Elephas maximus indicus: one gene and its partner. The protein of the gene in region 2 purifies or fractionates together with the protein of the main gene of each other region. This does not show direct contact. Links are inferred from orthologs where the notes say so. Each region holds a gene or a part of one and is shown on either strand. Other genes may lie near its edges.

Region 1 (3,913 bases), on a different chromosome or scaffold from region 2:
TTTAAAAATAATTTTACATAAGCCAAGAAATATGAAACGCAGCATACAACCAAACTGAGAGTTGTACCACCTAATTTTGATAAGCAATCTTTGGGAAATGCCTTCTCTATAGTATCAAAATATTTTGCAAAGCGACAAAATGAAAAACGAATGGCAAGTATTTTTCTCATTTTATAGTTGGAGAAAATAAGCCCCAAAAGGCTACTGTTTTCAGCATTCTTGCCTACCCACACAGTTTCTTCAGGAAATGAATAGTAGGAAAAAGTCCTTATACAATTCCAAAGCTCCCATCATAAAAGTGTTTATGCCAGAAAAAACCATGGGGAAAATCAGAGTTGACTGCAATTATTTCCTATCATTTTTCAAGAACTAACTCAAATTCATCTTTCTTCTAAACCACATTGATCTTTCCTTTCTCTGAATGCCCTTAGGAATCACTGCTGAAATCATTAATTTAAAAACTAATACTGACTAGTGATACTTCTTTTATCATACAAAATCACCTTGTAATATGCATTTCCTTGTTTCCTTAATGTTTTGGACTAATCTATGTCTAATATGTTGTACACAAATAGGCTTAAAGCACATTTTACTTTTCAAAATTATTTCACATACATTGTCATGATAAAACAGAAGATTTGTAAAGATACTGACTTGGTTATTCTACTTAAAAACAGCTTCTAAATAATTTGCTTATCAAAAGGCTCAGTATTCAAAATAACGGACAAATTTATTCTCAAACAAAACAAATTTACTCCTTTGAAAGACTAGTTTACAAACAGAACTTCTACAAACTAATCATCTAATTTCATTAAGTAATTTCACTTGAGGAACAATCCATACAATAGATGTTTAATAAACCACTTTCAGGACTCTCTTCTTCAGGAAGACTAGAACACACAAGTGAAGTCCATCAGAGGTCATTCTACCTTTCCAGCCTGACAATCAGATGCCTGCTGAGGCAGCAGCTGTGAACACATTTTTTGCCTTTGTTCATACATACACTTTAAGAAACCTTGGATTTAATAATTTTTCTTTCTTTAAACCCAAGATGAACTGTCAGCTGCTCTCAAAGTTTTCTCTAAATCTCTACAACCAGAAAGAATCTTTTTCCTCTGGATTACCTGAGCACAATCTCTTCTTGCTCTGCATTACCTGAGAAGTTTGATTGTAGTTTTCATATAACACTTCATGTAATTATTGGTACACATATCCGAATCCCTTATTAAACTGTAACTTCTTTTAAGATTATACACCTAATAATCTTAGGATAGGGGTTGTTTCTCACTCTTCTTTGCATTCCCCCAGCACCTAGTACTGTAACGTACACATAGGTATCCAAAACCTGTCTGTCAAACCAACAATTAAATCATCTCTGAGACAAAGCAAAATGCTTTTTCAACAGTAGCACGTCTATGATCAGTCATGAAAACACACACTTAGATTTCTCATGTCAACGACCAAAATCTTTTTTGAAGTATTTGAGTATACACTGTAGGAGACAGTATAGTACAGCAAATATGGGCAAAAGGTCTGGAGTCACACCACATAAGTTTGAACCCTGGTTCTGCCATTCGTGACCTTGGGCAAGTTTCTTAACCTCTGTGCCTCAGAACTAACATCTGTAAAGTGGGGATGTAATAGTGCTTATCTCAAAAGGTTAAACGAATTAGTAAATCATTTTAAGCACATACATAATAAGTGCTTAGTAGTAGTATTGTTGTTGGATGTTATAGACTCGATTGCGACTCAAGCGACGCTATGTACAACCGACGAAACGCTGCCCGGTCCAGCACCTATAAATTACTACCAAGTATTTATCACTCTCCTGGGCGTTCGCACGTAATTTACCTCATTCACTCAATCCTCACAGCAATCTTGTGAGGCTGGTAATACTAATCTGATTTTACGGATTAGAAAATCTGGGCACTGTAAAGTAACTTGTACAAAGTCACAAAGCAAGAAAGCGACGGGGGCTGGAATCGTGTCTTCTAATTCTATTAACTACTAAAACATAAAGAAAACTTGGCAGCCAGTGCCCAGGAAAACTAGAAAAGGAGCATAAGAGCTGAGCCAAGGGAAGAGACAGCGGAAGAAAAGAAAATACTAAGCTTCTGGTCCCACAGTCTCACTCTCCCCAGGATTCCACGAAACTAATCTCACTGGTAGCGACAACAGGAAACTTACCAGGGGAGCCTAGTGCTGGGCAGCGGTTTAAGCACTTACAAACTAAACTCTCTTAGGCAACTCTCTCCTAGCAAGTATTTAGCGAAGGCCAGTGCACTGAGCACTGACCTAGGAGCCCTGGGAGGAATGGCTAGCAAGGTCGTAAGCTTGTCTGTCTCCTCAGCTCTAAAAGATAAGTGGATGGCAGGCCAGGGCGGGTCCTAACTTCCAGACGTCCCTGGTACCCCAACCCCCCGCCCCCGAACTCCCTTCTCTGCCCCAACACCCAGGCCCGGCCGGGCCTCCCCTGCTTCCTCTCACCGTCCTTCATCTGGACAATATTGCTGGCGGCCACCCGGTCGGAGGCGACCAGGACGTAGTCGGGGCCCTGGATGCCTATGAGGTACTCCATAGTGGCGGGAGGCCGGAGGCTGCAGGTTCTACAGAACGCACGTCTCGCTGGCTTCTCGGCCTCACCGGTGAGACAGCACAGCAGGTCACAGCTTCACGCGACGTAGGCCGCGCTACCGCCCCGGTCACCGGCGCTCTCGGATGACGTACAACTGTCGCGAGAGGTCGGAAAGCGAGTGTGGTGCTAGGTGTGTTAAATCTGCGTTTGCCTCTTGCCCTGACGGTGTCTCTTCCAGTAATGGCTCTGTAAGTTACTTTGTGCAACGCCCTATTTCCTTATCCGTAACCCCCCTGAGGGGGAAGTTACACACCATATATGAAGTGCCAACCACTTATGGGTGCCCTAAAGCGATGGTCCCAGGTGGCCGTTTCCCCTTGTTACCCGGTAAAACCTTTCCAAAAATCTCTTACCCGAAAGACGAATTGGAGAAAAAGTGAGAGGATTCCCTACTGAAACCTTGGTGGAGTAGTGGTTAAGAGCCATGGCTGCTAATCGAAAGGTTGGCAGGTCGACGGGATGCAGACCCCAAATTCTCGTTAAGACCAGACTTAATGGTCTGACACTAGAAGGACCCTGGTGGTCATGTCCCCCAGACCTTCTGTTGGCCCAGGACAGGAACTCTTCCCAAAGCCAACTCTTCAGACATGGATTGGACTGGACAATGGGTTGGAGAGGGATTCTGGTGAGGAGCGACCTTCTTGGATCAGGTGGATTCTTGAGACTATGTTGGCATCTCCTGCCTGGAGGGGAGATGAGAGGGTGGAGGGGGTTAGAAGCTGGCGAAAAGGACACGAAAAGAGAGAGTGGAGGGAGAGAGCAGGCTGTCTCATTAGGGAGAGAGTAATTGGGAGTGTATAGCAAGGTGTATATAAATTTTTGTGTGAGAGACTGAGTTGATTTGTAAACTTTCACTTAAAGCACAATGAAAATTATTAAAAAAAAAAAAAAAAAAGGTTGGCAGGTCGAATCCACCAGGTGCTCCCTGGAAACCCTGTGGGGCAGCTCTACCCTGTGCTGTAGGGCCGCTATGAATCCGAATCGACGACAACGGGTTTGAGGGTTTTTTTTGTTTGTTTGTTTTTATTAAAGACGCAGCATGAAGGTGAATCATAAAAACAGCGGGAAAAAAATAGAATATTTTGATAGTCTTCGGAAGGGACACGTGCTTATGACAGGAAACCCAGAAGCAAGTTGGGGGGGGAAGAGGGGGGACAGAACCAAAACCAAACCAGTTGCCCTTAAGTTCATTCTGACCCATGTGTATCAGAATAGAACTGGGTTCCATAGTGTTTTCAGTGACTGATTTTTGGAAGTAGATCACTAGGCCTTTCTTTG
Region 2 (3,913 bases):
TAAAGAGCTTTACAACTCTCATAGAGCATAAATATTTCATTGGAGCTGTGGAAAGTCACTGCTTAACTTCAATAAACCCACACATAACCAAAACAACAACAAAAAACAACCAACCCCACCGCAGAGTCAATTCCGACTTATAGCGACCCCATAGGGTTTCCGAGGCTGTAAATCTTCACAGAAGCAGACTGCCACATCTTTCTCCCTTTGAGTGACTGGCGGTTTTGAACTGCAGACCTTTCAGTTAGCAGTCAATCGCTTTAACCACTGCGCCACCAGGGCTCATTAGTTACCACAAAAAGAAAAAAGAAACCTTCTTTAGGTTTCAGTAATTGTGGAATTAATTCCGGTAAAGATACTTTGGCACCAACATATATTAGTACAAAGAACCAAAACATATAGACATTTTATGTATAGCTACACAATAGTTTGAAGTAGTAACTAAAGCTGCGTCTGAAAACATAACTTTCATCCTTCAACTTATTAATACACACTAAACAGTAAGGAAATGTTTGGGAAAATTTTGTTTCTATTTATAATACTAATCCAGTCAAATACTCCTGAGAACACTTCAGTTTCTCACACATTAACTGATATTTCCCACACCTATATTAAGAATATATCGCACCCACACTTCCACATATAATGAAATGTCTTGCAATCAAATCATCTTGTGTCACAATTCCAAAAGAAGTTGGGAAATCTGTCTCTTAAACAATTAAAGACATAGAAAACTTCATAAAATTAGAGGGTAAAACATAACACTGTATCTAAGAGGTATCCACTGGGTAATAATTCCATTTACTGACCACCAGTTAAATGCAATTTTGTCCTCACATCTCTCTAAAAGGCAAGTAATTTTCCCCATTGTACAGCAGGCCAAACTAAGAGAGTTACAGACCCACAGACGGAATTCAAGTCTATCTAATAAACACCACGACTCCTGATCTCCAACAAAAATATAATCAATTTTTTAAAAAATATATAGATGGGCAGAAAACTGCTTAACTGTGTATAGCGTAACAACTCCAGAACCTAAGCAGTAAATTTACACACGTGACACTTTTAGCTTTTTGGCATAAAACTGTACTGACTTCAACTTAGTTGCTCTTTTTGCAATCGCAAATACAGAAAATGGCTTGAGAATTTATCATGCGGATTTTTGAAATGTTTAACTGCAGAACAGATTTAAAAGATTTTTTAAATATGGATATCTCCCTTGAAATGCTACTATGGGGGGGGGCGGTGAGGTGGCGTGAACAGGGTTCCAATACAACTCCTCCAATTCCAAGACTTCTAACAGAGGACCCATGAAATCTCGAGTTGGGACCGAGCCAGAATCTAAAGAGCTCTAATCTTCACCACCAAAGAGACCTTAACGTGCAATCTGCATGTGCATGTGTGTTGGGTGGCTGGATTCGTGATACATGCAAATAAAAGGTTTAATAACTCTGGAGGGAAAAGAAGCAAAGAATTCGTTTTCACCACTACTCACCTCCGAAAACTGCGGCAGGCGAAACCTGATACTTTTTTTTTTTTAAGGCTCGCTATCTCGGGTTACCACCTCCTAGACCTTAGAACCTAACCAGGTCTACTCAGGTCCAGACGCCTCATCTCCCTCCCCCACCTGTAAACCTACGCCAGAAAGCCCGGCTCGCTCCAGGGGCCGCCGCGACCTCCCCTCCCCCTCCGGCCCCACTACCACGAGCTCCCAGGCCGAGGCCTCCGGCGCCCCGCGGGCGTGCTCCCGCCATCTGCCACCAGGCCCTCGGCGTCCAGCCACTGCTTCCCATCCTCCCTCCACAAAGCCGGTGGCCAACTCCGAAGGGTCCGGCACGACGCACGCGTCCGAGGCCGGAACCCTGGGCCCTATCGCGCCCGCAGCCCACAGGCCGCACCTCGCGCCCGCACTCACGGCGCCCTCGTGGGTGAGCTGAAGGCTCTCCCCGCCCGGGCGCGTCGCAGGGCTCCTCTCGGGGCTGAGACCCGGTTCCGCGCGCAGCGGCCGCCGTGCCGCCCCCACCGAGGCCCGGCGGGCCCCTCACGCTCCCCGAGGCCCGCGCGCGGCCGCCCCCGCTCCACCCGACCCCAGGCCCTGTGTTCCCCGCCGCTCGTACCGTCTCCTCGGGGTCGATGTCGATCTTAAAGGTTTGCTGCTGGAGGGTCTTCAGGGTGACCTGCATGGTGCCACCGCGCAGCTCCACTGCCGGGCCTGCTCCGGGTGCTGGCCGCTGGGCGGGGTCTGTGGCCTGGCCGGGCCCTGGGGTCGCCGGCGTTCCTCGCACACTCAAGAGGAAAGCGGTGGGGGTGGGGGCTTGTCACATTCGCCCTGCGGAGCGGCCTCTCCCCCAGCCCTGGCCCCAGGCCGAGCCGCTGCCTCCGCGACCGCGGCCTTCCACGCGAGCTCCGGCCGCGTCCGGCGTCAGCCACTGAGTCTGCAAGAGGTGCGAGGGGCTCTGAGCGACAAGCAGGGAATCCGCTAGCTCACCACACGACGGTCGCCGCCATCATCGTGACTCGCCGAGACGCACCCCCCTCCCCCACCCGAAAAGCTGGGGATGGGGACGGGCTGGCGAAGCGCGCAGGCGTAGGGTGCGGCGAGACTATGCGCATGCGTGGTAAAGAACTCCGCCCCAGAATTGGGGGCGGGGCGTATTGCTGCTCTGGAATGTCGGCGGCCGGGATCCGGCGTACGCAGGCGCACACCGAGGACGTCGCTTGGGCTCTCAGGGCTTCCCTGTGGTGTCTGCAGCCCGGGTGTTCTCCCAGCCCGCCGCCGCCCCGCCTACGCCCGGAGCCCCCCCGACCGCCGGAGTTGCGCAATTAGTAGCCGGGGAATCGCTACGTGGAGAGCGGACCAAGTGGGTGCTGAGCTCCGGAGCTGGAGAACTAGAGGGCAGTAGATCGGGGCGGAGTTTAAGTGAAAGGGTCCAGGTAACCACCGAGATGGGCCCCTGCTACGCGCCTGAGGCTATGTGATGTTGACTGATTCTTTAATCCTGAGAGCACAGGCTACGTACGATGCTAGACTGCCCGGGCTCACATTTTGTCTTCTCTTCTTACTAACCTTCTGAACTTGGGCCGAACTAGAAGGACCTAACGGAGGTTAAGTTACGTCACTCCTTTGCGCAGAAATCTCCGGTGATTCCCCGTGTCACCCAACGTAAACTCAAGGTTCTTACAAGTGGCTACTAGACCCTTAGTTTGCATCGCATCTCCTGTCTCTTCCGCTTGTTGTTGATGGATGCTGAGCTCCCGCCGAAGGGCCTTTCTTTGCACTCTCTTTTCCCACACCCTGATGGCTCTTCCCCCAGATATCTGGATGCCTCGCTCTCTCTTCTCCTTCACATCTTTGCTCGAATGTCACCTCAGTGAGGTGTGTCCCGGCTACGTTATTTAAAATCGCAACCTCTCTAGCTCCGTTATCCTGCTCTATTTTTTTTTCTTTCAGGAATATTTATCACCTATACATATGAAAACCCTGGTGGCGTAGTGTTTAAGTGCTATGGCTGCTAACCAAAAGGTTGGCAGTTCAAATCCACCAGGCGCTATACGAGCCTTGGTGACCCAGTGGTAAAGAGCTCGGCTGTTAACCAAAAGGTCTGCGGTTCGAACCCACCAGCCGCTCCTTGGAAACCCCTGTGGGGCAGGTCTGCTCTGTCCTCTAGGGTCACTGAGCCGGAATTGACTTGTCAGCAACGGGTTTGTTTTTTAAACTACATACAGTGTATATGGTATTATGTTTATGATCTTTCTCACTTTGCCCCTTTAAACCCCAGACTGAAACTGCACCAAGGCAGAGATTTTGTTTTGTTCACCGATGTATTCCTGGCATCTGAGAAACATACTTGGCACATAGCAGGCAGGACACAGTAACTATCTGTGGTGTGGGTGAGTGTGACTCAGGTTCCTC

Evidence for each region.
Region 1: the proteins of RAD23B (region 2) and PSMB2 purify together in Homo sapiens (affinity purification with western blotting; 3 studies listed by BioGRID, with this or other methods). This does not show direct contact. The link is inferred for Elephas maximus indicus from reciprocal best matches to the Homo sapiens genes RAD23B and PSMB2.

What each region holds. Positions count from the first base shown.
Region 1 is NC_064821.1:76,947,947-76,951,859, forward strand, and holds the start of PSMB2 (proteasome subunit beta type-2), read right to left. Parts: upstream 2,722-3,913; 5' UTR 2,579-2,721; coding exon 2,488-2,578; intron 1-2,487. UniProt on the Homo sapiens protein: Non-catalytic component of the 20S core proteasome complex involved in the proteolytic degradation of most intracellular proteins. This complex plays numerous essential roles within the cell by associating with different regulatory particles.
Region 2 is NC_064827.1:56,782,772-56,786,684, reverse strand, and holds the start of RAD23B (UV excision repair protein RAD23 homolog B), read right to left. Parts: upstream 2,599-3,913; 5' UTR 2,184-2,598; coding exon 2,118-2,183; intron 1-2,117. UniProt on the Homo sapiens protein: Multiubiquitin chain receptor involved in modulation of proteasomal degradation. Binds to polyubiquitin chains.